Linked DNA regions of Nothobranchius furzeri. The protein of the gene in region 7 binds, or shares a complex with, the protein of the main gene of each other region. Links are inferred from orthologs where the notes say so. Each region holds a gene or a part of one and is shown on either strand. Other genes may lie near its edges.

The links.
Region 1: med12 (region 7) and mediator of RNA polymerase II transcription subunit 13-like share a complex: the UniProt entries of both Homo sapiens proteins name them as parts of the mediator complex. The link is inferred for Nothobranchius furzeri from reciprocal best matches to the Homo sapiens genes MED12 and MED13L.
Region 2: med12 (region 7) and med25 share a complex: the UniProt entries of both Homo sapiens proteins name them as parts of the mediator complex. The link is inferred for Nothobranchius furzeri from reciprocal best matches to the Homo sapiens genes MED12 and MED25.
Region 3: the proteins of med12 (region 7) and ccnc are in contact, whole or in part, in a cryo-EM structure (PDB 8TQC), measured with the Homo sapiens proteins. The link is inferred for Nothobranchius furzeri from reciprocal best matches to the Homo sapiens genes MED12 and CCNC. Residues at the interface, in NP_005111.2 of Homo sapiens: Ile6, Leu7, Ser8, Tyr9, Glu10, Pro13, Leu14, Lys15, Arg18, Leu19, Pro22, Asp23, Val24, Tyr25, Asn47, Pro49, Ala50, Val51, Asp54, Glu55, His56, Gly57, Ser58, Ala59, Lys60, Phe64, Pro66, Ile69, Asn72, Phe73; in NP_005181.2 of Homo sapiens: Gly3, Asn4, Phe5, Trp6, Gln7, Tyr11, Ile15, Asp17, Gln19, Asp20, Lys23, Gln49, Glu53, Leu57, Arg58, Gln59, Ile62, Tyr153, Arg157, Pro158, Gln161, Tyr162, Asp165, Leu173, Pro174, Trp177, Arg178, Ile179, Asn181, Asp182.
Region 4: med12 (region 7) and med21 share a complex: the UniProt entries of both Homo sapiens proteins name them as parts of the mediator complex. The link is inferred for Nothobranchius furzeri from reciprocal best matches to the Homo sapiens genes MED12 and MED21.
Region 5: med12 (region 7) and med20 share a complex: the UniProt entries of both Homo sapiens proteins name them as parts of the mediator complex. The link is inferred for Nothobranchius furzeri from reciprocal best matches to the Homo sapiens genes MED12 and MED20.
Region 6: med12 (region 7) and med4 share a complex: the UniProt entries of both Homo sapiens proteins name them as parts of the mediator complex. The link is inferred for Nothobranchius furzeri from reciprocal best matches to the Homo sapiens genes MED12 and MED4.

What each region holds. Positions count from the first base shown.
Region 1 is NC_091746.1:54,299,285-54,303,880, reverse strand, and holds the start of mediator of RNA polymerase II transcription subunit 13-like, read left to right. Parts: upstream 1-1,620; 5' UTR 1,621-1,813; coding exon 1,814-1,885; intron 1,886-4,596. UniProt on the Homo sapiens protein: Component of the Mediator complex, a coactivator involved in the regulated transcription of nearly all RNA polymerase II-dependent genes.
Region 2 is NC_091745.1:8,284,035-8,288,717, reverse strand, and holds the start of med25 (mediator of RNA polymerase II transcription subunit 25), read left to right. Parts: upstream 1-1,684; 5' UTR 1,685-1,810; intron 1,811-1,844; exon of another isoform or gene 1,845-1,865; intron 1,866-3,181; 5' UTR 3,182-3,191; coding exon 3,192-3,316; exon of another isoform or gene 3,317-3,333; intron 3,334-3,406; coding exon 3,407-3,452; intron 3,453-3,543; coding exon 3,544-3,668; intron 3,669-3,760; coding exon 3,761-3,859; intron 3,860-4,683. UniProt on the Homo sapiens protein: Component of the Mediator complex, a coactivator involved in the regulated transcription of nearly all RNA polymerase II-dependent genes.
Region 3 is NC_091742.1:26,782,405-26,786,437, forward strand, and holds part of ccnc (cyclin-C), read left to right. Parts: intron 1-395; coding exon 396-465; intron 466-609; coding exon 610-661; intron 662-752; coding exon 753-808; intron 809-4,033. UniProt on the Homo sapiens protein: Component of the Mediator complex, a coactivator involved in regulated gene transcription of nearly all RNA polymerase II-dependent genes.
Region 4 is NC_091741.1:59,846,802-59,851,445, forward strand, and holds the start of med21 (mediator of RNA polymerase II transcription subunit 21), read left to right. Parts: upstream 1-1,432; 5' UTR 1,433-1,482; coding exon 1,483-1,524; intron 1,525-1,860; coding exon 1,861-1,975; intron 1,976-4,149; coding exon 4,150-4,250; intron 4,251-4,644. Other genes in the region: fgfr1op2 (FGFR1 oncogene partner 2 homolog), read right to left, coding at 80-197, 444-578. UniProt on the Homo sapiens protein: Component of the Mediator complex, a coactivator involved in the regulated transcription of nearly all RNA polymerase II-dependent genes.
Region 5 is NC_091743.1:46,651,111-46,655,631, forward strand, and holds med20 (mediator of RNA polymerase II transcription subunit 20), read left to right. Parts: upstream 1-1,614; 5' UTR 1,615-1,706; coding exon 1,707-1,720; intron 1,721-2,132; coding exon 2,133-2,278; intron 2,279-3,473; coding exon 3,474-3,727; intron 3,728-3,810; coding exon 3,811-4,032; 3' UTR 4,033-4,221; downstream 4,222-4,521. Other genes in the region: bysl (bystin), read right to left, coding at 360-498, 614-770, 1,073-1,346. UniProt on the Homo sapiens protein: Component of the Mediator complex, a coactivator involved in the regulated transcription of nearly all RNA polymerase II-dependent genes.
Region 6 is NC_091754.1:35,372,946-35,376,158, forward strand, and holds the end of med4 (mediator of RNA polymerase II transcription subunit 4), read left to right. Parts: intron 1-1,960; coding exon 1,961-2,133; 3' UTR 2,134-2,275; downstream 2,276-3,213. UniProt on the Homo sapiens protein: Component of the Mediator complex, a coactivator involved in the regulated transcription of nearly all RNA polymerase II-dependent genes.
Region 7 is NC_091741.1:82,329,953-82,333,898, forward strand, and holds part of med12 (mediator of RNA polymerase II transcription subunit 12), read left to right. Parts: intron 1-2,156; coding exon 2,157-2,345; intron 2,346-3,946. UniProt on the Homo sapiens protein: Component of the Mediator complex, a coactivator involved in the regulated transcription of nearly all RNA polymerase II-dependent genes.

The DNA.
Region 1 (4,596 bases), on a different chromosome or scaffold from region 7:
GTGGTCAGCTGTCATGCTGTTTTGAAACGTGCTTTATTAATAAACATAGCAAGGTATTTTAATAAACACTTTTTATTTCTGTGTTTTTATTTAATGTTTTACGTTTTCTTGTGGCGCTAACCTACATGGATTAGACTCTCTTATGAAACCCAGAATTAGCTCAGTAAATCAGGCTGACCTCTATTGTCACACCCTCTGTTTGTGAGAACAGTTACATTATGTAATCATCAGAGTGACACCATCTTGTCATAGAAAACAAACAAACAAACAAAAAATGTTCTCCACAAACACATCAGGGACACATTTGGGAAGTTGGGGACAGTGTCTCCACCGTGTCCTCCCCTCCAGCCTCACATCAGAGACATGTAATCCCACACTTTGGTCATGTGAGAACAAACTTGGCCAAACAGAAAGGCTAGTCTCTGTTGAGCGCTTCCGACCGCCATTACATTACAATGCGTGGTGGGCTGGACGATCGTGCGCAAAAAGGAAAAAAAAAAGAGGCTTCAGCGCTTCGCGTAAAACACACACACACACACACACACACACACACACACACACACACACACACACGCATTCACACCGATTCACACTGAGGGTGGCACATCCAGGCTGCGCGCACGCCCATCTAGCCGTGTAATAACGCACTCTTGTCTGACAGATAAACAATGAGGAAGGAGTCGCTGCGGTTGAGGAAATCATGCACATGCTGGAGGATTTAAACCAACAACGACCCGACCGCTTCTCGAGAGGCAGGAGCACGCGATTCGGCCGAAGCAGTCTGCAGAATGCAACATTCGCCTTGTGTTGGGATCGGCGCCAGACGAGGACGGTCACTTTTGCTTGAAGGGGAAGAAAAAACCCAGAAAACCTGTCTGATATTTTTTTCTGCAACACTGAGGCTTTTGTGGCCGTGAGAGAGGAGGTTTCGTAAGCTGAAAGGAAGGAAGGATTTTTTCAAACCTCCATCTACAGCCTGTTTTGTCGTTTTCCTGCTCGGTGGAGTGTTAGACTTTTTTCGTCTTGCCTTTGACTCATGATTCGGGGTTATTTATTGCTGGAAACCCGCTCGAGTTTCATTTTTTTGTCCACGGAGGGGAGCAGCGTGAGGAAGGAGGAGGAGGCGGAGGAAGGGGGGAAGGTTGTGTTTCTTTTTTAGCGGATCGTCTGCGGCGCGTTTGATTCAGGAGCAACAGAGGGATTAAATATTCCTGCTCGCATGCAGCAGCAGCGCCTGTTTGTGTGAGCCAGACTGGCTTACATTGTGTGAGAGAGGAGCGGTTGTGGCAAGAAAGGCGGCTATAAATAGCGCTCGAAAACTATCACAAATGGTGCATCAGCTTTGTGGAGCACACGGAATCACGTTTCCTGCGTGAAATAACCATCGTTTCCAACTTTGACGCTTATTTCACCCCCATTTTTTGAGGATTTGTGGATTTTTGCCTTTTGGATTATTTGGAAACTGATCACATTCCTTGTGTGTGTTTATGTGTGTGTGTGTGGATTGAAATGGATACTGTTTTGTTGATCAGATTTGGAATGACCTGGATTGGACCAATGTTGTGATCCCCTCTCATCACACTCACGCGCTCGGATTTATCAACATTTATTATCTTATATGTATTTTTGAAGAAAAAAAATTGGATTTAATGGATGCATCGCTGTACACATCTCTCTGAATACGCCCATTCCCGAGTCTTTTATCTTGAAGCCTGACTCTTAAGGGAACCCATCTGTCACCCCTGCTCGGTGTTGAGATACCGATGTAGGATTTCGACATGCCCTGCGCTGGCGACCCCAAAGGCGGACGATTATGACTGCAACGGCGAATTGGGTGGCTAACGGGGCAAGCCTTGAGGACTGCCATTCCAACATCTTCTCTCTGGTACGGTATGAATAAATCATGCTCAGCAGCTATAGACAAGTCATAAGACCCATGGGAGGCACGCTTAAATGTGTGTCTGCTGTACAAAGGTGAACCAATTGCTGATGTTGTTATTAGACAATCATTAACATGGGTTAGTGGTGTGGGAGACCAAAATAAAGCCACTATTACCACTAAACCTGCGGATCAACAATAGCTGCTATTTATATTTATCTTTTCCCAAATGCTCTAGTTTAGCAGCTACAAGAAGATAATTTATTGCCAAATGTCCACGCGTTTGTGAAATAGGATAACAATGCATGCTTCATTTTGCCAACTGGAAAATCGTGTCTAAAGAAAAGAAACAAAGATTTGCATCAACAAGGCACACGACGGAAGCAGCCCTTTCACAGAATCAGAGAAAAAAACACGTTTTTCACACTACATGCGGTGTCATTTTTGCACAACTCATCGCTTTTGAGGTTGAAGGAGGCAGAGCAGTGTGTTTTCACAGTTTTCCTCCTGCAATCAGCGAGTTAACTGTCTTACCACAACAGGCAGCCAAGTGGAAAGGCATGCACTGAGCTCAGGCAAGCAGGGCTGCTGAGAACCACAACAACATAGGGGTCCTGAGGGCTTTTCAGGTGATCCTGCAGGTTGTGGACCATGTTACGCCAATCGCCGCCACAAATTGTGGCACAGGGGGCTTGAGAAAGCTCCTATGAATGTTTCATTCTAGTCTCCAAGGTGAACGAGCGAGAAGAAATAGATCTTGTGTGGTTTCCCGTGCACTGACACATGCTCTCCGGTATCAGACATCTTAAATTTTCTCAGCTTGACAACAACAGAAAACAGTGATTGTGTCTCTGTCACCATCTCATCTGAGGCTATTCCCTCGTGGAAAAAAGCTTTCATTCACTCACCGAGGCTTTATTGGCCATCATGAACATCCCTTTCAAACTGAGGGTGAAAGAGACCATCCATCAGCTGGCTTGTTGAGAATATTTATGACTGGCAAGTGCTTCGGCGGTCTAACTGGCAGGGTTCCTGCAGGGTAGTCCAAATAAGCAATGACACACACACACACACACACACACACACACACACACACACACACACACACACACACACACACACACACACACACACACACACACACACACACACACACACACACACACACAATTCCTGTAAAAATGAAACAGAGATAAAGACACTAACGTGCTCATTTAAAATGCATTTGGATGTGGAAATAGGGCTGGGTTCAACGGTTAAAGAGGATTTTCTGTTAAAAGTGAGTTTATTTAAAACAGAAGCAGCTCACACCTTAGTTTTTAAACTACGATTCTCATTTCAGTCCTGTTCCTAAGTGCAGAGATAGTCTGACGTCCTACAGACGCGCTCTGGACTGACGGACTCTGCACTTCCATGCGACGTTGACTGTTTGCAAGGAAAAACTTCTCAAGGCTACTAATAAAACAGCACAGAGCACATGGCTAATTGGCATCTTTGCTGTTCTAATGTGGTTTGATATGGTTTAGCTCCTAATTCCTCTTTTCACTAGGAGAAAACTAGAAGATAATTGCATTTGTAACATAATTTCCCTCGTTAGATCATGGACACTTGTTAGAGACATTACAATCTTTATATTCTCATCATTATGGCAGTTTTTTAAATTAAAAACAAAAAAACGCTGATGGTTTTGACATTTTATTTGGGTTAGTAATTAAAAAGAGCCGCAGAATAGAAATATTTTGGATTCTAACAAACCATTAGTTGATAGGGACATATGTTAATAGGCTAATTTCTTGGGTTTGAGCTTAATAAATGATAAGAAGACAGGCTCCATGGTGGGAAATTTCCTAACCTTTTCCTGTGAGTAACAAAGGTTGTGTTGTTATAGATAAAGGTCTTCAGGCTAGCTGTTGAGCGCTCTCCTCTGACAGCCTGTTTAACAGCATTCAAGCATGCACGGACCTTGTTCCTCTCATTTGCTCACTGTTATTGCAACTCACAACAGCAAAACACACAAACAAAAACAGCTTATTAGAAAGCATAAGTGCTCATACTGTGGGACTTTAAAGGGACATGGCAGATTACTGTCGTGCACTCTGCGTGGCCAGCGTCGGATACTTGGGATGGCTGCAATCGCAGTACCCACAAAACAACTGTCTCCTGCGCTGGCGACCAACCATCTGTGACAGAAAGCAAACTAGACCCTTGTAAGTGTGAGTGTGTGCATGTGTGTGTGTAGGGGGTGCAAAAAAAGCAGAGCTGGCATGATGAAGGAGGGGGGAAAGGGCACAGAATGAGAGGAGAAACAGAGTGAGGCTTTTCAGCAGAGAAGGACTGCAGCAGAATCTGTTTTCATTTTAGGAACGTATTATGACTGATGTACATTTCCTGACTGCAAGCCTCAGCCTATTTGAGAGAAACTGAGAGTGAAAGAGTGAGCCAGAGCACGGAGGAGGAGGGGAGGGGGAATTAAGGAGGGAGAGCGTAATGAGAGAGGGGAAGGGAAGACAGACATCTTTCTGTGGACTGCGTAGGTTCCTTTAACAGTGACTCCCTGCCTGATTATGAAAGGCAAGGAGGAGACAGTTAAAGGCCTCTCAACACAGGAAGCCTCTGTGTGTGTGTGTGTGTGTGTTTATACTGAGCACACTGTAAACCACGCAGACTCGGGAGACAAACTTCAAACACCGACCACATTGTACTCACATACACACACA
Region 2 (4,683 bases), on a different chromosome or scaffold from region 7:
TGGAACTGCCCCTGACATGACATTGCAGAGCTGCATCAACCAACAAGGCCCCAGAACATCCAGGGGTCTCATTTATCAAACATTGTGTAGAATCCTTACTAAAACCGTACTTAAGCTCAGCAAAAAAACTGTACTTACGCCAAGAAGGTTTGTGATCTATCAAACATGGAGTACGCACAGCTGCACGCAATCTCCGCTTCATAAATTGGAGACTAACGAGAAAGTTTCTCAGCTGCATTTTAGTCACATCCCGCCCTCACCACACCCACTTACTGCCATAAATAGTCAGTGCAAAGTGCCTTGTGGATCTTATGCATGTACATAAGCCGGCTGTTGCAGCGCTCCGCCAATGACGATGGCGACCGTAGATCAAGGCAGATCAAAGAAGTGCTATTTCACAGAAGCAGAAACTGAGGTACCTGTGGGTGAGGTGGAGAAATGAAAGAAAGCGCTTTTGCAAAACAAATAAGAGGAAATCCATGGAGTGGCACAGCGTTGCTGAAGCCGTCAATGTTGTGAGTTCTTCAGAGAGAAATGGGGCAGATATAAAAAAAAATGGTCCAATTGGGATTCGATCCCCAGACTCCCGGGTGAAAGTCACGCACGCTAACCAGTCAGCAAAACAGAGATCTCCCTTGCCTAAGTAGCCAGGGCACATCATCAATTGGGTCACAGTGACAGGACACACACTGTCACAGACGCATGACATTCTGTCTCAATCTGTCCCCCTGCTGATGTTCTGCATTCCGTATTCTGCGCTTCAAGCTGTGTGTGTGTGTGTTTTTGTGTGTGTGTGCGCACGCGCGTGTGTGTGTGGGTGTGCGCGCGTGTATGTGTGCGCTCGCGTGTATGTGTGTGGGGGGGTTCTTGTTCTGTGTGAAAACGAAGCAGTACAAGTGATAATGCTGCAGGATTTCATAATTGTATCCTGCTCAGCAGCAGCACTGCAGGTGCTCTCCATGTCCAACATTTGTGTAAGCCAGGTCCTTATCCAACTTAAAGTTGCTCACATTTTTCTGCTAAATTTTCTTTTATAAATCCCAAAGTTTGCATGGAAAGTTGCTTACGCAGTTTTCTGACCCCGTGTTATAAGCAAGCTTGATAAATGAGGCTCCAGAGGCTTAAAAAACTCCAGGTGGATCTCCTCTCCATTCAGATCCTTGCCACCAAGGAGCTTTTCATGTTATACACACCCATACACACACACATACACACACACACACACACACACACACACACACACACACACACACACACACACACACACACACACACATACATACACACACACATTGAGTTTACTACATTTGAAAATAATCATAAACTGGGTGTGAGAATGGTAATACGTTCATAAAATAACTTTGAGTTGTTCTGGGACTTTGATCTCACCACCATCAGTGGTCTTTCTGCAGAACTGGGCTCTTTTCTCATGAAAGAGCAGTTTCAGTCTAAAATGAAGCCACAAACAAAACTATAGTTGTGTAAACATTTTACAAAGTAATAGGTAAAATCAAAATGAAAAGGTATTACATTTAGGACACATGTTTTCTCTCCTGAAAAGAATCTGTGTGAATGAGGTTTGGTGATAATTACTTAGAACAGAAGGGGGCAGCACCGCGCTGTTCAGCCTCCTGTCTGCAGAACGAAAATGGCGAAGAAGATGTTTTTAGTGGCGGTCGAGGGTCGTGGCGTCACTTCCGTAGAAAATTACCTAAACACGGTGATGTTAGCTGCTCTGTTGTGTTTATATTTGGTTTAGGTTCGTTTTGTTTCTCATTTAAAGCCTCCGCTGGTCGCAGAACACCATCAGGTCAGTTCTTATCTGCTGCTGACCAGATTCTATGTGAAGCTTGTTGGAACTTTTGGTAAAAATCGCACTTTTCTTGCTAATGCTAATAATGATGTTCATGTTGTGTCTTCGTGATGATGAGCAGGTCTTATTCACACCTGACTCTAGCGTTCAGCTAAGATGAACAAAGTTCTAATCTGCTGTAGGATTTACGTTAAATCATAACTTTTCTTATTTCCAGAGTGGGGCTTTTCTTAACCCTGCAGTGTTTACTTTAGACACTACAGGATGTTTTATACACTTAGCCGCCTATATGTAAAAACAGCAGGCTGTCTCTTATGTGGAAATAACTATGGGATTCAAAGTCCATTTTGCAGGATGACTGTACTAAATAGAAAGCGGTTTCTCTGTTTTTTCCACCTAGACTTGATGTTAGAAGCTTCACAGATAATCCCTCATACGATTGTGCGAAATATAAGGTTATTTATAATAACTTAATACCCAACCCTTTTTCTTATCTTCTGAAATCGTCTTTCCCTTCTTCAGGTTGTTTGGTTTTCTTTTAGAAGTTTTTCCTGTACTTTTGTTGCTTTTTAGTCGTTTGTATCCAGTTTATGCTCTTGATCATAACAGTGTTTTGTCTAACATGCATGAAAAAGTAAGGAATACCATCAAGTGGAAGATGAAGAGAAGTGTCAGATCTCCAGTGGAGGAACAGTTTCTGAAAGTCATCCCTCTATAAAAATATCGAAATCCGTACATGTGGAAGGTCCCTCGGATGATCATTTACTGTATGAGAGCTGCACAGTAGCAGAAATTAAAACATGTATATAGCAGGTTATTATTGAGATTCAAGCAGATCTTTGCTTTACTGACCATATATTTGCTATGTACAGAACAGTTCTATGCCGTATCACATCTTTATAGCTCCTACCTCTTTGGGAACCACCTTGTTGGTGTTGAAATAACACTTTTTGTCTGACTGTTATTTTTGGTGTTTTTCTTAGGTAAAAACACAAAAGAAGCCGCATGTAACAGCAAGCCAAAACAGATTTAGTTTGTTTTCTATGTTCTGTTAATGTCTTGTACCGGTTCAGGGCAAACCAAATAAAAATCATTCTTCTGTTATGGTCCTATGCCGGACAGAAACGTAGCAGAAAAGAAGCCAAAGTCTTAAGAAAACAAGAAAGTTTGGCTGCTTGAAAGCAAAATATGAGGAAATGAAGTTGGACTTGGAACGTTAGCATCCCACTACTTTCCCCATTTAATTATTAAAGTGTACACATGTATGGTTCAGCTCTGTATTCTATCAAGTTGCTGGAATTTGTTTAGATTTCTTCAAAAGCCTTAATAATTTGGTTCATTCCATGATGAGATCATCTTAATGTCCAGATCAGCGTTCATGGAGCCTTCCAGTAAACCTGGTTTCAACCAGGTGGCTGATGTGGTGTTCGTCATCGAAGGAACAGCCAACCTCGGACCGTACTTTGAATCCTTAAGGAAAAACTATATACTTCCAGCAATTGAGTAAGAATTCCTTAAAGGTAAAGGCTGTTAGTCTGTGTCTGCTTTTGGTTAGTTATGGAATAATATTTTTGTTTATTTTATCCGTCATAGATATTTCAACGGAGGGCCTCCAGCAGAAACAGATTTTGGTGGAGATGTGAGTGGTATTTTTATATTGTTTTTGCTGTGAGTTTGGGAGGTATTGTTGTTCAAAAACCAAAAAGACCCTCTGTTCTCTGTTTTTATAGTATGGAGGAACCCAGTACGGCCTTGTGGTGTTTAACACGGTTGAGTGCGCTCCTGAATCCTACGTCCAGTGTCACGCACCAACTAGTTCTGCCTTTGAGTTTGTCTCATGGATCGACAAAATCCAGTAATGCTTTGGGAATAGCTGCAAAGTTCTTAATGCTTAATATCCATTTTTTAATTGAAAACATGATTGTAATTTACTTTTCTTTCTGCCAGGTTTATGGGGGGTGGAGCAGAGAGCTGCAGCCTGATTGCTGAAGGGCTCTCTGTGGCTTTGCAGCTTTTTGACGACTTTAAAAAGATGAGAGAACAAATGTAAACGAGCATTTCGATTTTGATTTGCTGAAAAGAATTTGTCATAATAGTTTGTCGTAATACTTTTCTTAGTTTAGTCAAATTAGAACTAGGATTATGAAATTTCATGTGGAACACAAAAAAAATTTCTTTAATCATTATTTCTGATTATAATTGGTCATTCTGAGTTTTTCATGCTGGCTGAACATGACAACAGTCTCCTACACCTATCTCCTGCATTAGCTTCTGATATAAAATAGACGGTGAAACTCTAGGATTGGAAAATCCACACAGATCTACATCACACTGTCACTTAATGGGCTCGACACACGGGAGGCGACAAACGACCGCGATCAGCGAAATTTGTTGCTGTCGCTTTTATTACCTGACACACGGGAGGCGGCCAGCGCCAAAGTCGTCTACGCGTTCTGTTTCATGGCGAAATCTAAACTTGCGTTGTTTTGCTTGGCTGTGTCAGGTTGGAGGGAATTAAGGTTATTTAATCTGTTCAGAGTTAATAAAGCGATAGATATGATGTTTCACAAGTTACTGTTAGAGTTATGTGAAATCTTACTTGTGATTTTACTATATAAAACATAATCAACTTCTCCTCCATGTTTGCTCGGAGGAGTTTACGGAGTATCCTGTCCGCTCTTTGGTCAGTGAATGAAACCTCCGTTGATTGGTTCTCGTCCGCGACAGCGATGAAAAGTTGAAAATGTTTCAATTTTCTTGGATCGCTTCGCTGGGTCGCCTGTGCACGACACGTGTACGAGCGCAAAATTTCACACGCACGTTTTTCGCGTTTGGCTTGGTAGGAGGGAGACCCGCGATTATCGCTTTAT
Region 3 (4,033 bases), on a different chromosome or scaffold from region 7:
TAAACACAAACTTACGTCTTAATAAACATTAATTTAATAACGAAACTGCTAAATTCTTTCCAACAGTTTAGATGCGTAGTGATTTTGTCCGAGTGGGTTTGCCGTACTTTGACGTCATTTGCAGTCGAAGGACCCCGAGCAGATCCTGTACCGACACCGGCACCAGAATTTAACAAGTTTACTGTTGCCAGGAAAAGTACCACTCTCTTGGTTCCTACAACCGCTGTGGGAAAAGATTGGAAGATGTCTGGGCTGCGGTACAAGACTAAGAATGGCTTAGCGGATCAATGTTCATGGAAATGTTTCCAAAATAAAAGCTCCGTTATTTGTGTGTGAAGACTTTCTCCATAAATCCTACTTTTACAGCAGGAGTACTGAAACGGTTTTGTGTGTAGGTATTCTCTGAAGAGTATAGACCCGGTGCTCATGGCTCCGACTTGCGTTTTCCTGGCTTCTAAAGTAGAGGTAAGCAAATTTCAGGGGGATTTTATTTTTTTTTACTTTTGTAAGTTAGCGACCTTGTTAAATGAAGAAATCTTGACTGGATTTTGCTCCTTTTGATATCTTATTGTTTTCCTGAGCTAGCAAACCTTAATTATTTTCCTTCAGGAATTTGGAGTTGTGTCCAACACCAGGCTGATCTCTGCAGCAACATCTGTTTGTAAGTGACAGCCAGAAATCCTACAAAATAAAAGTAAAATAACATTTATGCTGAGCAACGGCTTTAGCTTCACGCTTTCTTTCTTTGACAGTGAAAACAAGATTTTCTTATGCCTTCCCAAAGGAGTTCCCTTACAGAATGAATCATGTAAGTGAAGGATTTTTCCTGCAGTTTTTATTTGATCTCCGTTAAGAAAACGTTAAAGGCCGGAAGCATATTGGATCACTTGTGTCTGATTAAAGTTTTGAGTCTTAACTTTCCACCAAGAGACACCGACATCTGCAAAATGCAATGCAGCTAGTAGCCTAGCCACCGTTGTAGTCGGCGAACAGCGGCGTGTGTCGGACGTCCCAGAGGCGTGTTGTAGCGCCGCTCTGCTAAAGTTTATGTTCTGTTTTTTATTTTTTTGCACTTCCTTTACACGTTCAAATCAGGCCAAACATGAAGTCAGACATGGGAGCAGTAGAACACATCTGGCAAATTTCAAAATAAGATGTGCAGATTTCCAGTTGCTAGTAAAACTAGTAAAAAATGTTGTCATTACCCGTGACGCCTCCGCAGCTGAGATAAACAACAGAAAACCAACCACAGACCTTTAAAGCTCCATCCCAAAACTCACACTGCGCCCTACAGACACTGTGAAGGGCACTAGGAGGATGTGCACAGTAAGGCGTTGAGTGTGTGGTACACAAGTGTTGATGTTTATGTATTTAGCAGACGCTTTTGTCCAAAGCGACTTACAAGTGATAATCAGCATGTTGCCCTTGAGGCTAACAACAACCAATTTCCAGTCAGTCGTAGGTGGCAGTGAGGCAGCATGATGAATCATGGAGAGGAGGGAACAAGGAGTGGACAGTAGAGAGGGGGGACGGGTGCAGACAAGGTGCTAGTTAAGAAGATGCTCTCTGAAGAGCAGGGTCTTCAGGAGTTTCTTGAAAACTGAAAAGGAAGCCCCTGTTCTGGTAGTGCTTGGAAGGTCATTCCACATTTGTGGAACGATGCATGAGAAGAGTCTGGATTGTCCTGAGCGTGGTGTAGGCACTGCTAGTCGACGATCCTGTGATGACCGGAGCGGCCGGGCCGAGACGTAAGCCTTTGCAAGAGGATTCAGGTAGATGGGAGCCGTACCGTCTCAGGCTTTGTATGCTAGTGTTAGCAATTTGAATTTGATGCGGGCTGCTAGCGGTAGCCAGTGGAGCTCAATGAACAGAGGGGTGACGTGTGCTCTTTTTGGCTGACTGAAGACCAGACGCGCCGCTGCGTTCTGGACCATTTGAAGAGGTCTCACAGTACAGCCTGGAAGACCAGTTAGAAGGGCGTTGCAGTAATCGAGGCGGGAGATGACAGTAGATTGCACCAGGAGCTGGGCGGCATGTTGTGTTAGGTATGGTCTGATCTTTCGTATGTTATACAGCGCAAAGCGGCATGAACGAGCAACAGAGGCAACATGATCTTTAAAGGTCAGGTGTTCATCAATCACAACACCCAGATTTCGAACTGCCTTTGAAGGAGCCAGAGATAGGAAGTCATTCTGGATTGAGATATTGTGCTGTATGGATGGTTTTGCTGGGATGACAAGTAGTTCAGTTTTAGAGTGGTTGAGTTGGAGATGGTGGGATTTCATCCATTTTGATATGTCAGAGAGACAGTTTGATATTCGTGCAGAGACAGTGTGGTCGTCCGGCGGAAATGACAGATAGAGCTGGGTGTCGTCTGCATACCAGTGGTAGGAGAAGCCATGTGATGGAATGATCTCACTCAGTGAGGTGGTGTATATAACAAAGAGAAGAGGCCCTAGTACAGAGCCCTGGGGGACTCCTGTGGCAAGATGGTGCACGTTAGAAGATTGTCCAAGTCAAGATACACTGAATGATCGTCCTGTGAGGTACGATTCAAACCAGGCGTGTGCTTTCTCTGTGATGCCCATGCTAGAGAGTGTGGACAAAAGGAAGTCATGGCTGACAGTGTCTAATGCAGCCGATAAGTCGAGCAGGATAAGCACTGAGGGTTTGGCAGTCACTCTAGCATCTTTTAAGGATTCAGTCACTGCTAACAGAGCAGTTTCAGTGGAGTGGCCCTTTTTGAACCCAGATTGGTAAGGGTCAAGCAGACAGTTTTGTGAGAGGTATTCTGTGATCTGCTTGAAAGCCACCCTTTCAATGATTTTGGACAGAAAAGGGAGGAGAGAGAGAGGTTGGTAGTTCTCCACATGATTTGGAGGAAGTGATGGTTTTTTTAGCAGCGGTTTAACCTGAGCATGCTTGAGAGAGGTGCAAATAATTGCCTCATCGACCACAACGCATGCCGGGATGCTGGTTAAAAAGAAATAAAAATAAAACTTTAATAACAAACAACCAAACAATTATTTGAATTAATTTATATTCATTGCTGCTCCGTCTAAAACATTCAGAGCATTAATTAGTCATCCTTGAATTAACTACTTTTGTTTGAAAGTACATCTTTTCAGAAAAGGCACTTGAGCCTTTTCTCCTGCAGCAATGCATTGTGGGTAATTCCAGTCACCCAAGTCCGCTATCTTCTTAAGGCCCTGTCCACACGTAGCCGGGGATCTGCCAAAACGTAGATATTTTTCTACGTTTTGGCCTGTCGTCCACACGAAAACGGAGTTTTTTCACACGAAAACGGATCTTTTTAAAAACTCCGGCCAAAGTGAAGATCTGCGTTTTCTCCGTTTTGGGTGTCTGCGTGTGGACAGACAAAACTGGAGTTTTAAGGTCCGCAACGTCACTTTCCGCGACAAAAAAATGCTGACATCACGTGTGCGACCTGTGTTTACACTAGCCGACAGCATGGAAGCCCTCAGAGCTGCGCTCGCTTTATCAATTGTCCAAGCGCTTTCTGCTTGTTTGTTTTTGCAAGTGGAATTACTGCTCCTTGTGGAAGACCACAGACGAAGGACGAGGTTAAGAACGGGGGAAGTACTGCCGCCTACAGGTCTGGCATGTCCTTATCAACGTATTTATCCGGGTACGTGTGGACAGAGTTTTTTTTAAAACGAGGTGGTGTGGATGCAAGTTTTTGGAGGGGCGGATATTCGTTTAAAAAAAACCCGACTACGTGTGGACTAGGCCTTAATCATCTCGCTGGATCAGATGCGTGGAATGCATTTCGCACCGGCTGCACATCTGAACCTTCCTTGCTGATTTATCAGCGTGAAAATATTCTAGGTGAGTGAGGAACTTGTAATTTTTGTTTATTCCAAACATACATTTTGAGCCCCCCCCCATTAATGCACATGCCCGAGGATGACCTAAGCGTCTTCCTCTGCAGCGTTGTTTATGTGATGCTTTCCAGCTCACCAAGACGCCCTCACGCTCTTTCACAGTGCCGTTACATTTCTGGTTGCTGGTA
Region 4 (4,644 bases), about 22 Mb from region 7:
GTGTGATTTGACAAAAGTAAAGGAATGTATTGTACCGAACAGGAAGCAATCACCATGAGTATTAACACTGAAAGACTACCTTTGTTTTCCTGCTGGAGTTCTCTGATCTGACGGTTCTCTTGTTGGATTCCCAGAACCAGACTGGAACGAGGCCGATGTCGCGCAACCTGGTTCAGTGCATCAATCTCTTCCTGGTACTGTCAAATGTGAAAAAATAAATAAATAACGAATCAATAAAAAGCTTCGCCCTCAGTAGTTATGTCCTGTAAACTAAACAGCAGTCAACGCTACGGTTAAAATATTCCATCATTCTTTGGAATGCACTTTACTTTCTTCTTTTGCATTATAGAGTGTTCAGTTATAGAATTAGTAAAATGTGACCCCTGGTGGCACTAAGCTAGTACCCAACAGCACATAAAATAGGAAAAAAAAAAATCACATACCGTTTTTATAGCCTCCACTCTCTTGTTGAGAGATGTTGTCTGTTCAATTAGCATCTCAGCGGCATTGTCGTGGTTACGAAGCCTTTCCACTAATGATTTGGCATCTGCCAAGACCTTCTCTAAACTACAATTCATACCTAAGGAAATACAGAAGCATAAAAACAACTTATTTTTGATTATTCAACAGCTCTGACTTGTTGGTATCAATTTATTGAAAATAAATATAATTAATGCAATACACTACGAATACATGCAAACAAATCAGTCCAGTAAGTACTAATCTTTATTTCTTCAAACTCAGCTCATTCAAAGATCTGTCTACTTCTATATTAGTTGTTCAGAATCTTTTTACAGACAGCCACACGAAAATACATGAACTTTCACTTCACCACACTCTGTAAAATAATAATAATTCACCAGAACGATCGAAATGAGCCATGAATAAACGTTTCTAAAGCTAAAGAACCTAGCTTGAACCTTAAGCCTCCTCGTAGGTGATAGCACGCTAGTTTACAGCCAATAATGCATTGATAGGTCATTTTACTCTAATAAGAGTTTTATTACTTAACATATTTTGCATTTACTGACACAATTTATCACCACAACACTTCATTAATCAAATATAAACTACCGAGGAGTTCATAACACCAACCGGCTGCTATAACTAAACTTGTAAGGTCCACAAAAGGCAGCAAAACTGACAAATGTGTGGTCATACCTGAAGAGTTCAAAGTACAAAACCACTTGGGTTGAGTTAGCTTCTTTACTTCCTGTTGTTGTTTGGTGGCTAACACTGGCTAAAAGCTGACGTTTACTCCGGATTAGATGCTTTGGCGCGTTCCCATTTCCTTAAAGCACGAGAGTAAATATCGCTAGTCATGAAAAAGTCGATTTAAAACCTATCCACATTACAAAAAACCAGCCGTGGGACGGTCACAGCCATCGCTTCAGCTAACTCGAAGCCTCTTGTTTATTTCCGCGAGACGTTAAACTCTCGCGAGGGTCACGTTGGGGAGTTTTTTATTTTATTTACGGCAACATGGCGGATAGGCTAACGCAACTTCAAGACGCTGTCAATTCTGTAAGCAAAACTATTGAAATATCCCGAAATATAATTATTTTCTACGTCAATAGTTATTTTTTTATCTTACACAATTACAACAAATGGATTTAGATAAGAAATATTTGCAGAATTATCGTTTCAGTCTTTTAAATGTAGCTAATCGCTAACTTGCGAGTCTAAGGTTTAGTTAATTTACACAATTTATCACAGCTTTTATGTTTTAACCAATGAACATGGCTTGGTTTAACTGGTAATGCAACTATCAGACTATACTGGCTGTTTATCTATTCTATATTCTTTTAAACAAATGTCCGGAGTTTTAAAACCCGTGTTTGTTTTGTTGCGTGTGAACAGCTGGCTGATCAGTTCTGTGATGCCATCGGTGTTCTGCAACAATGTGCTCCACCTGCTTCCTTCAGTAATATTCAGACAGCAATCAACAAGGATCAGCCAGGAAATTCAGCCGAAGGTTTGTAACTTCAAAGCAAAATCTTTATTTAAATCTCTTTTCTCCCACATTCAGCTAGCCTGACCAGTCATGCATCCTTATGGGAAGCATTAGTTCTCTGTGTAGAATTAAACAGAGGACGAGTCTGGCAGGCCAAACATGCTCACATGCCTGGTGGAAAAATCACTACCAAACTCTCATGGGTTATTTATTTTCCTATTCGAAGAAGCCACAATTTAATAAATTGTTTCAAAAAGGGGTTTCGGGGTTTAATTGTATAAAAGTAAAAATGCTAGTCAACAAGTGAAATACTATTTCCAGGATAAAGTTAAAACGTCAAGAAAAATGTTGAAATTTTAAAGAAAATTGTCAAAACGTCTAGGAAAAAAAGTGTTACCATTTCCAAAATAGCCTGAAGAACTGAATCTCAACTGTACCCTGCCCATCCCCAAAAGTGTCACTTTGTAATATTTAGTTGGACTGCCCTTCACTTTGATTGCTTCTGCAATGTCAAAAGAATTATTCCCATCCTGAGTTGCATTCATTTTTTAATGAGGATCCTGTAGAGATGTTGAACAATCAAACAGTTTTAACAATTGTCATCGCAAAGATTGTCATTGGTGCTCATTGGGTCTGCATCGATATGCCCTGATCTCTTTCATGGTTTGATCCTGATGAATTGTGGAATTGCCATCTTGAGGTTATACAACCTATTTGCCTTGTTAAATCCAGAAGGGATTTATTTTGTTACAGGAAGTGTTGTTCCCTTTTAACTAAAGGGACGTGTTTGCTGAAGACCCTTATTGTGAAAGACTGAAGATCTCCGAGTTCTGCTTTAACAAAAGGAGTTAAAACCTGATATTTAAAGGGACTTTACGGAGTTTTGAATTTTTATGCTAGCGATTGCCCCCTCAGGCCAAAAGTGTAATGGCAGCTTCAATAGTAGGCTCGTGCACGAGGCGCGCATGCTGTACGTGCACACTCCTTTACGAAAATAACAGCTGAGACAGTCCCTTGTGTGTGTGGCCCGGAGGACAGAGGACAGGAGAAGGTGCAGCTAATTAAATAATTTGGTTCTGTACCTTTCTCTTCAGCACAGCCGACAAAGGTTTAAGATGGGTCAGTCCTCCTGCATGCTCAGATCATTCCCTTCCCTTGCTTGAAAAATTGTTCCAAAATGAAAGTTGAACCCACATCTTTTTTATCTGTGAATTCAATGCCGTTCGGCAAGTGTCAAATAAAAATTTGGGCATCTTACTGCAAAAAAATATACCATTAATGTAATGTACATCCAGATTCGAACTCGAGTCTTCTGCACGAAAGTCCGTCGTCTTACAAGGCGAGCTAAAGCGCCAGTGACGTTCCTTGTGTCTGTAACATTTATATCCTTGATGACAGCTGAAACAACGTTCAAAGAACAGTTTGGAGGGCTATGCCTGAGCGTGAACACGGATGAAGCAGCCTGCTCGACCCGAGCAGCTCTCTTTTTCTGTGATTTTACAGAAAAACAGGCAATCACAGTAAAAATGCCAGGGCTCATTCTACAGGACCAGGGCATTGCAGGAGAATGTATGAAGAAGAAATTTATTATTTCTATACATGTTTTGGCTGTCAAACTTCCATAACGTCCCTTTAACCAAATAGTTATTTTATTGAATAGTTTACTGGGTAAAACATTCCTGTAACCGTCGGTTACAATGATGATAAAACTGGAACAAATGCAGTCTGATTCAGGGGCACAACAGGGTTTGTTTTCTTTTTTGGAAGTTATATTTTGATATTTTTCAAATTAAATTGTAATATTTTTCCTCAGTATTTAGACGTAATTATAGATGTTTAGAATTTGTTCCCCACTATTTAAAGATGGTTTCTACTTTTGTCTCTTGTCTTTTCTCAATGTTCTAGAAATAGTTAAGTGTTGATTCTTAACCTTTAAACTTTTTTTTCTTCATCCTGGAAGAAACAAGCTGACTTTGTCATCGACATTATGACTGTAATCTTGAATTTTTAAAATACTGTTGACGTTTGTCTCGACATATTGACTCATTCTTGGGATGTAGCCTTTATTCTGGGGGGAATATTTAGACTTTTCTTGTCATTTGGAACTATTATGTCGACTGTACCTACTTGTTTAGTTGCAGCAATGGCACTAACGCTCATTGCATTCCCTCATGTGTGTTTTCCCTCTCCTCTAGAATATGCACGGCTATTTGCCGCTCTTATTGCCAGAACAGCCAAAGATGTAGATGTACTGATCGACTCTCTGCCCAGTGAAGAGTCCACAGCAGCCCTGCAGGTCGGCACGCTCGCACTCACTTCACTCTTGCTTCCAGTAGGAGCTTCAGATCTGCCTGCATTTATGCTGAAGGAAATCATTCAGACTTCTACTAAAATCACAAGGATTGGTCTCTAAGAGATACCGACTCTTTGAGTTTAAGAAGTTTTACTGAAATAATGGCTTCACTTTGATCTATTTTAAAAAGAAGAGACCCAGTATTATTGTTCATGTTCATAAGAAACACATTTATTTTATTTTGTTGACCCAGAGTGTTACAGCTTTTTAATGTTATGGCCGTTAAAAACACTAACCATCATTTTTAGAGTTTCAGATTTATTTATTTTGTATTTTAACATAACTTTTTGTTTAGTATCGAGATCAAATGACCCTTTCAAAAATTGTTTTGAATTTT
Region 5 (4,521 bases), on a different chromosome or scaffold from region 7:
TTGTGTGTATGATGTTGGCGTAAGCAGAACCGTACACATTCAGTTGGTTGTGAAAGGTGGCTATTTTTAGATTAGCACATTAGCTGGTTAAGCTAGTGGGAGCTTGAGCCATGGGGAAGGGCAAGTTTAATGGCTACTGGATGGATAATCCCACGTTCGCGACGTGGTTGGCACCGGTTCCAGGCAATAGCCGGAAATTATAGCTTAGATTTGGTCAAAGTGGCCTTAAAAAGGTCTTAAAAAGTCTTAAATTTGGCACCCTTAAACCTGCAGATACCCTGGGAAAAGAACAAAGTAGGTGAGATCATTTTTAACAGGAGAACACATTTCAACATAACACAAACAACTGTATAACTTACCTTACCGACACCCCGGTAGACCTCGGTCACCCTAGGGTCCAGCTGGGGCATTGGAACCCCTGATACCTCAGACATCACTGTTCCCACCTCGGTTTGCTTCTCTGTGATCTTCTCCATGATAATATCAGCTAAGGTCCGCCTGTGATGGTCACAAAGAGGAAAACAGCTGAGTATACGAACATAAACTTAACCTCAAAGTGGACTTTAGCAAATTCCAACAGCTAGAATTCAAACAAAGTTGTGAGAAATCTTGCCTCATTGGAGGGTTTTTATTCATGAACATCTCAATGGCCTTCTCATCATCAGAATCAACGATGACTTCAGTATCACCCTCCACATCACCATCCCCAGCACCTGCTTCTCCCAGAACTGGCCAATCTTCATCTGAGTCAGCATCCTGGGACTCAGGGCCTAAAATAAACAGGTCAGACAACATTAGAAAATATTATTCATGCATTCAGCAAAGACTTATTTCACCTAAATAGTTCTGAGAAGATCACGCTGGGAACTATTTTTCTCTGTGATCGTCTGACATTTTGTCCACATAAAAAACATTCGTCATTAGTTTTATTTTTGCAGAGAAATAAAGGGATGTTGCATAAGTAACACCGTATAACTAATTACAAAAACACTTTCGTGGTTTCTACGCTTGATAAACCAGACTTAATTAAAAAAAATACTGCCAATTTAAGGTCCGAAACCCTCCATCATACCGAGAACAGTGACTGGTGCTTTCCTCTGCTCAGGTGCCAGGCCATACTCGGTCTGCAACTCCTCTTGTTGAATCCGGGCCTGTTGTAAGATTTTCCTTGACAGACGTTCATCCACGTAGGTGTCCTCACTTTCGACCCGGGCGTCTCGATTCTTCACCCGGCCTCGGGCTCGGATCGTGTCCGCCTGGAGGATCTGGTCGGCCAGTGGCACCGCTCCTCCTCCGCCACTCTTCTCTCCTCCACCGCCACCTTTAGCTCTTTTCACTTTCGGCATCTTTCAAGAGTGACTCAAGCTGCGACGACGCTGTCCGTGTTTTGTTTTACCATTAGAGACACAAACAACGCGGAGAAAGAATTCTGTAAACAGTCTGTATTCTACACGTGCAGATTACCGTACGGCGGAAGTGACGATATACGTAACGTCTGTGCACTGAAAAACATATATATAACATACCATTTTATATGATGTTGATTTTATATGTTTGTATGTAACATACATTTATGCAATATGATTATAAAGTTTCTTGAGTTTGTTTTTTAATTTTCTGAAACAAGGTCGTTTACGTGCACCGGAAGTGTAAATGTTAATCCGGAAGTAATTGCTTCACGAGTGTTTTTTGCAGGCGAGAAATCAATGGGTGTTACTTGGTAAGCAGATTTACTTATGTTGTAGTTAAATGCTAACTGTAATAATATTTTTGTAATATATTTTATCACGCTGTGCATATGATTTCGTTTGGCATGTGTAGCTAACTCGGTGAATGTAGCCTTTATTTGCTTCCAAACCGTTTTACACTGAATAGAATAGTGTTTATTGTCGTTGTACGGTGTACAGCGAAATTAGAGTGCCACTCTCTTTAGTGCAAAATGGAAAACTATACAAAAAATAATACAGAAATAATATAAATGTAAAATGAACAGTAATATATATATTAGTTGGGTTCAGTAAGCAGAATTTTAGCATATTGAGTAAACAGAAATAGGACATTCAAATGTTATTGCACATGATCAATTTTGAACAGGTTGCTTCACGGTGTTGTGTTGTTCTTGTGCTGTGCAGTGTTTGCCAGGTGCCCGTGGCGGAGGGGAAGAGTGTCCAACAGACAGTGGACATTCTGCATAAGAAGCTGGAGCAGCTTGGAGCTGTGAAGCAGGGCAACTTCTGTGTAGACTGTGAAACATATCAATCAACAGTAAACGCTGGCGGTAATTTTCAGCTATTAACCATATAAATATTATCATTCCTGTTGTTTAGGTGCTTTAGATGGATAGTCTTCTGCATTGCTATTAATACAACTTGCTGCAGGGGAATTTGTCATATTTCTTTGATTAAATTCTGCTTTTTGAAAATGTTCTAATAATTATGTCAAATATTTGACTTAAACTCAATTGTCCAGGATATGTGTGCCTTGTGACAAATATATTGTCAAGCTATGTAATTTTCATTTTTACTGATCTTATTTCTCTGTAAGGTTAACAAAAACAGTCATCCATTGGGTAAAAATAGCCAGATTAAAATACAGTTGGTGTGTTTTAGAAAGGTTTTCTGTAAATCTTCATTACTATGTTATGCAAGGTTAAATGAGCCACGTTTCCACTGTATCTTTCCCCAGAAGTCAGGAACATTTAAAAAGCCCCATCCACTGCAAGAATCCGCTTAAATTTGTTTAAATGGGACAGCAGTAGCTCAGGAGGTAGAGCGGGTTGTCCAGAAGGTTGCAGGTTCGATCCCGGCTCAGACCAAAGAATTCTGCTGTTGTGTCCTTGGGCAAGACACTTAACCTGCCTTGCCTGCTGGTGGTTGTCAGAGGGGCCGATGGCACCAGTGCTCAGCAGCCTCGCCTTTGTCAGTGCGCCTCAGGGCATCTGTAGTGACATCATAGCTCATTCCCACCAGCGTGTGAATGTGTGTGTGTGAGTGACTGTGTTGTGAAGTGCTTTGGGGGGATGTAGAACCCTGTGAAGGTGCTATACAAACACAGGCCATTTACATTAAGCTCCTTGAAAAATAGTTTTTATTTTTATGTTTTATAAACATCCGCAACCCGGGGTCTATAAACGTTTGATTTGGCATTTATCTTTCTAAGTTACTACTAGTCTTTTTTTTCCAGGTTTCCACCAATGAGTCCATTAGCAGAGCAGTAAATCATGATCTAATTTAGCTCAAGTGTCCTCCAGAAAAAAAGGTGTCTGCTCTCGCATCCCTCATAAGCAACATTTATATAAACAGGACATGGTATGATTCTACTACTTACTTGTGTAATTTTAAACTTAATAAGCATGCTGCTCTAATCTGTGTCCAAAAATAAAAAAATCATGCAAAGTCATTATGCAAAAATTGCATTGTTACATTTTGCTGTTCTTCATGCAATTTCTCACTTTAAGTCTGGGTTTGTTACAGGTCAGCCCTCCAAGCTCCTTTATGTAATGCACAACTCTGAATTTCCCCTGAGCTGCTTGGCTCTGTTTGAAGGAGGACCCTGTTTGGTAGCGGACACAAACTTTGACGTCCTCATGGTGAAGCTGAAGACCCATTTCCAGAATGCCAAGGGACACAAGGTGGAGTGTCGCGGTTCGAGATATCGCTACTGTGACTTCTTGATTAAAGTTGGCACGGTCACAATGAGTTCCAGTGTTCGAGGGATATCAGTGGAGGTGACAGTTTGGTATTATCAGTTAGACCAGAGGCCCATTGTTCTCTTTTTTGACAGGATTAACCCTTGATGTGTTTTCCTCAGGTGGAGTACTGTCCCTGTGTGGTTCCAGGGGACTGCTGGAACCTCATGAAGGAGTTCATGCTGTCTTTTCTTGGCAACAATGTTCCTGAGCTTCCCACTGTATTTGCTGCCAAGCCTGAGGGTCTTTTTGCACCAGCAGACTCTGTCGACACCATGACTCAGTACCTGGAGTTGTTCAACAAGCTACGGAAGTTACAAATCACAGGAAGCAATGTGCACTAATAACATTTTTTAATGATTGTATTGATGTGTGTTAAATGTGGTCCTATGGAAACCGTATGATTTGTATAGTTCTATTTTTGTAACTTCAGTTTTGTATTTGTTTACCCTGATACAGTTAAAAGGAATACAGCTACAATCTATAGATGCAAATGCTCAACACAGACAAAAATAAAGACAAAAATCTACCTATTTCTGCAAGAAGTAAAAATTCCTTACACTCGGTGGGGAAATGTTGGTGTCACAGCAGCAATCATTCACATCAGGAGCAAAGAAGAACAAAATCCTGTAACATATGCAAGAAATTCTTAAAACATTCAATCGAATAAAAAAAATCTGTGCAGATAGACGAAGTTTATAATGAGGAGTGATGGCATGAAAGGAGAAATGTGTAAATAGGGACCTGGGATTACTCTCCGTGCACCAATGGATGCAGCATTCTGCCGCTGTAGGAGTTCCCCAGCTTCATGCATGGGGTGGAAGACATTGTGT
Region 6 (3,213 bases), on a different chromosome or scaffold from region 7:
TGTTTTAAAAAGAACCAAAAACGCTCAGTTTTTTATTTCAATTCCTAGATCCTGACCGGAAGAGGAATTCGCAGCTGACCTCCGTGAAAAACAAACGTGATCTGCAAATTCTGATCGGCACTTTTCAGAGCTGAACACACCAGCTGTCTGTCGCCTGCAGAGCTTTCTCTCTGGTGGACCACACCGGGTTATGCCCACTGTAGCCCACAGGGATAATAATATAAAAATAAAAAATGTCACAACACACAGTTGTGACATTTTTTATTTCCTTTTTGAACTATTTAATCTGGTGTGAGTTTTAATGTTTAAATCTGTTAGATTGTTACTGACAGCAGCTACATTCAAGCTTCACTTTTTGTTCTGACTGAATGCTGCTGCAGCACGGAGGTGTCGACTCAGTCATCCTGGACATGATCATCCTGATGGTTTCAGTTATAAACAGCTGGACTTTTCTGGTTATGTTGGAGACATTTAGCCTCTCATCCCAGAAGCTTCTTCAGTTCCCACACTTTGGTTGTGGTCAGAAACAAACACACTTATAACATGTTTTTGTCTAAATGAAAGTGACCGTTACAGAAAGCAATCAAAAAAGAACAAGAAAAACCCATAAGAGTCATGTAGGATCTGAGCTGAGTTAGCCTAATCCAGACGGGAGGAGATGAGTGTAGAAGGATGGATTTTAACACTGTAATGCAGCAAAAATGGGGGGAAAAACAAGAACTCACAGTTGCAATGGTTTGTGTTTATCAGGGAAAGATGAATAAAATGCTCTTTAAATACACGTTTCACTGAATTTTGGGGAAACTTCCTTTAGATTCTTAATAAATTCCAACCAGCAGCTGAAGCACTTTTCCTTTGATCAAACATCAATAGGGCAGATCCATATAACCTATAAAGTATTATTTTCCTAATATCCAGAGGTGGATCTGTGTTAGCTGTGTAAAGTTTCACCACATCGATGCATAAACAAGACCTGGAAAGATGCATTTCAAATATATGAAACCACGGGACAACCGTCTCACCATTAGTCTTGGGCCCGACCGATATATCGACCTGCTGATATTATCGGCCGATATTGGGGTCATTAACAGTATCGGCTATCGGCTAAAAAGTCGGCTGATATGGCTGATATTGCGCTACCTACCCAGCAGATGGCGCCAGCTTTATGAATAAGTTTTGTGAATACTTCACCAAGTTAACTTCCACAGAGTGTTACTTTGTTACGAAGCACAAGTATTACGTTTTATTTATTGCTGCATTTTTATTATTTTAATATTCTTATAGGGATCTTCTGTCCCTAAACTTGTGTGTTGTTAGATTCCCCAGAGTTAACCAAGTCAGAAAAAACATGTTGTAACCAGTTGTTTTAGCATAAAGCAATGGAAGGGAAGGCTTGCATTCACCTACATAAAAACACTACAATGTGTGTGAATTCACTTACATTGTTTTATGCTAAACACGCAGACACACGGAACAGATCATATTGGGCTGTTATAAAATGCTTTTTCTGACTTGTCTAACTCTGGGGAATCTTAACAAGACACAACTTTACTGAGTGATGGAATGTTCCTTTAAGTTAAAATGTATTAGTGGAAACCACAGTTTACAAGAAAAACTTGAATGTTAGATTTATGCTGTGACTGAGTTTGTGTGTTCTGTTGTTTTTGAGATCTGCTAAATAAATCTTATTTGCATTACTTGGAACCCCTAGTGAGTTATGGAGACAGTTCTTTGGTGTGTAATAGAGAAATAAGTTTGCATCAAAAAGACAGAGAATGAAGGGTTTAAGCTTAAGAACATTTTTATTTCTTTTTTTTGTGGGGGAGATAAATCGGCCATTATATCGGCTATCGGCCTTTGTTAAAAGTTTTATATCGTATCGGTCCCAAAAAAAGCATATCGGTCGGGCCCTAATTACGTCCTCATCAGATTCAGTACATCCTTCTGTTTTGTCTCCCAGATGTCCTGACACCTCACTACCCATGGCAATCTTCAGACGTCTCTGTTGGGATGCTGCCTCCTCACCATGGTAATGACTTCGGCTTGGAGCCCCCCGGTCACAACAAGGAGAACGAGGATGATGTGGAGGCCATGTCCACCGACTCATCCAGCAGCAGCAGTGATTCAGACTAAAAGTGTGTGTGTGTGTGTGTGTGTGTGTGTGTGTGTGTGTGTGTGTGTGTGTGTGTGTGTGTGTGTGCTCAGTGATCACATGGTTAAATCTGGTGTAAACATGAACATACTCAGCTTTGTAAATAAACATCTTTTGAATAGATCATGAGTGTATTCTTTATATTTTTATACATGTGTATATAACGTAAGATGATGTGTTTCATATAAAAGCTAGCTAAGATGCAAGTTAAAGTATTGATATGCACAAACGCCTAACTGGTTTGAACAGGTTTTATCTTAGATGAAATGTGACTGACTGGAATGGTTTTTCAGATCGACCACACCCAGTCAAACCAGTTTCATTTTGAGAATGTGTTCATTCACCTTTTTGTTCCTTTTGGACAATAGCGTATTTTTGTTTTTGTGAAGTCTTTTTTCTGACACATTATTGTAAATATTGATGTAAAATGCAGAATTCACATGGGGATAACACCACTAATGCACGTTAGCGCCTAAAATGCATCCAGAGGATGGATAACATGTACAGGTACTTCTAAAAAAATTAGCATGTTGTGATAAAGTTCATTATTTTCTGTAATGTACTGATAAACATTAGACTTTCATATTAGATTCATTACACACAACTGAAGTAGTTCAAGCCTTTTATTGTTTCTAATATTGATGATTTTGGCATACAGCTCATGAAAACCCAAAATTCCTATCTCAAAAAAATAGCACGTTTCATCCGACCAATAAAAGAAAAGTGTTTTTAATACAAAAAATTCAACCTTCAAATAATTATGTTCAGTTATGCACTCAATACTTGGTCGGGAATGCCCACATCACTGCAGATGCAGCACCAATCTGCCTGTCAGTCTCTCGAACCATCGTTCCCTCACTTGTAAACATTACTCCAAGATACTTAAACTCCTCCACTTGGGGCAGGTCCTCATCCATGGCCCCGGAGAAGGAATTCTATCCGTTTCTGATTCAACTCCATGGTCTCGGATTTAGAGGAGCTGATTTTCATCCCAGCTGCTTCACACTCGGCAGTGAACTGCTCCATCAAAAGCCAGAGTTCATGGTCTGATGAAGCCAACA
Region 7 (3,946 bases):
AAACGCTCCAGAGTTGTGGAAGGTATGTTGGCCATTAAAGGAAGCAGCCCAGAAGTTATTTCTTGTACCCCTAAGAAGCCTCGGCATCTTTTTGCTTCAATAGGATAAAGAAGGCTAATGGCTAAAGCTGAGCTAACAATGCCAACAGTGAATTAAAAGGACACAGTCGGATGTAAAAATATCTAAAGCTACTTTTTTCAATTAGCAAAAACTCGATACTACAGTGAAATTAATTTACTCATCAGTTTACTGTGTATGACTCGTCTTTGCTCGTCATCAAGACTCTTCTGGTGCTGAGTTGTAACTGGAAATGTTTGCTCAGAGCAGACTCATTTGTTTTAATACAGACTGCAGTACCCACATTTGACCACTGAATGTCATTCTTTCTTCATGCACCTTTAATGAACAGGAGCATAAAGGCACCCTGGCCTTAGATAAGGATCCAGATTAAATAAGAAACATGATACTTTTAAAGGAATACTTTGCTACTCTTTCATATTTTTAAATGATTTTCTTGAGCCAGTATGTGTTGAAACGAACCTTTACAGGATTAATGAAAGGCCACCCAGGCCCTATCGCCTCCTGTGGCCAGCATATTCCACATGCAATTTCAGCTTGTCTGGCCGCCCTGTTGGAACTAAGAAAAAAATTGAGCTGGCGCTGCTGTCTGGTTCCAGCACGTCTTCTGTTGTACTTCAATTTAAATGAAAAGCAATTTGTAATTACAATGACTACAAATCAGACATCGGCAAGTCACATATATGATGTCACCATAGAATCTCCTCTCCCCTAGCGTAGCTTCTACTGACCAAATGGCCAGTTTCATGGTGGTTCTTTCCTCCTGATGGAAGGATTTGAAGTTGGCTGATTTTACAGCCACTTTTCCTCATCATTTCTCCATGTCTGATTTGATTACGTCAATTGGCGATGTGCATTTGTAGTCCTGGATGTATTTTCACACAAAACCTAAAATAACTTTTGCCTCCATTAGAAAATAACAAATTTAGTCCCACTGACTTGCAGTCAATTTTTCGTTCTTCCGGGGACCCATGGTCCGGAAGAAGATGGGCGTGACTTAGGCTCACTATTGAAGCAAAATACAGAAATCGCCATAAAAACATTAATAAAAAGGATCTCTTTCAATTAAACATGTTAAAAACTGTTGTGTCTCATTGGTTTAGCAAAGTAAAAAATACTTAATTAGTTTTGAGTAATGTTTTAATTTACCTGGAGGTTTTTGAAGAAAATCACTTAATTTTTCATAAAAATCTATAAAAAATGTACAGGACTGTATGAAATGTGTTAAAGGCTGTTGTTGTGGGATTGGTCTAGCTTAGTAACACCGTTGGGAATTAGGTTGGAGTATTTTAATCAATTTACCTGTAAGCTATTGACAAAAAAGTTTTACTTATAAAAAAAAGGTCAGATTGTATGAAATATGTTTCTAACTATTGTGCCTCGTTGGTCTAGTTCAGTAAGACAACATGGAATTGATTTTCAATAATTTAATTAAGACTAGAAACTGTTGACGGTCCCTAAGCGGACCACCGCTTTCATGAGCAAGTCCCCGGAACACAGCTGACCGCTGTCTCTCTCTGGTGCAGCACACGGCATGAAAATCTCCGGCTAACTGTGGTGAACTATGAGTGTATATCTGTCAAATGTCCAACATCCAACTGTGGTGCAGCGGAGTGAGGTGACACGAGGCACCCCATACCCTTCTCATGCATGGAAAACTTGGCAGCCCTTGCGAGACTGCTCAGGCCTGCTGAGGACCTAGTGGAGTGTGGCTAGACTGACCTGCAGAGACTTTTGCTCCTGCTACGGTCTCTCTACATTTCTAGGCTAAGGTTGTTGTCGTTTTAATAACAAAAAGAAAAAGCAGTGACAAGGAAAACTTTGCTTCATCTGAAAGGCTAACTTTTTTCTGTTACGTATACATTATCACTACATTTCAAAGAACTGAAAAAGAGAAAATAAACCTTAAAACCTTAGAGAAGCAAGCTGGTGCATTCAGTGAACTGAGACGTTCTTTGGAAGCTTTACCTTTTTTTCAGTGGGGGCTCTGAAGGGCATTAGAGTGAGAAGCCGATGAATTTAGACATAACTTTACTGAAGTTAGTTTCTCTTGCTGTAATACTTTTGTCCTTCTGCAGCAGCAGCAGGCTCAAGCTCAGCAGCAACAGCAGCAGCAGCAGCAGGTTCAGCAACAGCAGGTTCCTCCTCAGCAGCAGGTTTCACAGCAGCAGCAGCAACAGCAGCAGCAGGTTTCAGCCGTGGCTCCTCCAGGTCAAACACAGAACCAGGGTCTGAACATGCAGCCACTGCCCCCTCAGCAGCCCATGGTAAGTATGACTCATAAAAGCCTTTAGTTGTCCTCTGGTCTGCAAAATATAGTAGAATTTTAAATGACCCTAATGGTTGGACATTTATTTATTCAATAAAAAAACTTAATTGTCCAGTATAATCCATAAAAGTCCAGTTCTAATTAGTTTTTCTTAGTTCAAAATAAAAACAAAAATTTAGTGATGTACCGATATCCGATATTAAGATCACTGTTATGGCCAATAACCGATATTTGCCAATACCGATATACTGACATTAATGCTTCTAAAATCAGCAGATTTTGTATAGAATGAAAATTATTAAAGCTGAATTTACGTTATTACCGTAAATCCTCTAATACAGGCCGGTATTCAATTAAAGGCCGGGTCTCCAATTTTGGCCGGTGTCGGAGTCAGCGGAGGTGAATAATGGCCGGTCTCTTATTGTGGCCGGGTGGAATGTGGTAACAAGCAAGTACAAGCATCCCAGCGGCAGGGTTATAGTCCCCAAATCAACCAGCAGGAGCCAATAGAGGTTCACACAGACCTTTATTAGGCTTTTTCTTCAACGCTTTGTAACGCTACAGACACGATCCTCTATCACGCTCCTACCACACAGAGTCACGGTGTCAGTTAACCATGCTAATTCAACCCGCTCCACAGAACACACATCACCTTCCCTGTGGCTTACATAACACTCACACAACACGCAAATCAGCACATAGGAACTAGCAGAACGATAGGAAACACATATAACACAATACCCAGAATGCACCTGGCTTACAACCCCAGCCAGGTCATTACACTATCAAGTTCAAAGAGAACGTGCTGATTATGCTGCAGAACACTCTGGAGAGCAGCAGTAGGGGGTGTATGAACTAGTCAACTTCACTATAGTGACTTTTTATGCCTGTCGCTGTCACGTGATAATGACCGGCAAGGTGCAGCCCTCGGAAAAGACAGCAGCCTGCTGTCAGCAGGTGACAAGCTCCTGCGCTCGGGGGGGGGGGGGGGGGGGGGGGGGGGGCAACGCGCTGTGCCAGACCGTAGGTACTGACACGCGATCGTTCATGTCGGTTCATTTCCTTTAATGTTTTCTGTCTTTTATTTGCGCTTGATGTGTATCGCTGCTGTGGAGCGGGGCGCTTCACCTTGTCCTCCGACGCACAGATCACTGATGCGGCCTCCAAGCAGGGAGCGCTCCGCTGTTTTCGCGGTCGGTAGATCTGCCTCCTGAGCACGGCCACAGTAACAATCAGGTGTCGCCACCTCAAAAACTAATTTAACACGCGATCGTTCATGTCGGTTCATTTCCTTTAATGTTTTCTGTCTTTTATTTGCGCCTGATGCGTTTCGCTGCATGCTGTGGAGCGGGGCGCTGCCCGCATCACCTTGTCCTCCGACGCACTGATCACTGATACGGCCGCCAAACAGCGAGCGCTCCGCTGTTTTTGCGGTCAGTAGATCTTTTAGAACTGCAGTTCAAAGGTAACTCATGAGGTGAATATACATGAACCCAGGTAGCAGTTTTTCTTTAGGATTGAGAGGAGATGCAGGAAGATAATAAACAGACAGGACAGAAAAATAGTCAAATAAAAACAAGTTAGTTTTTGTACCTGGTG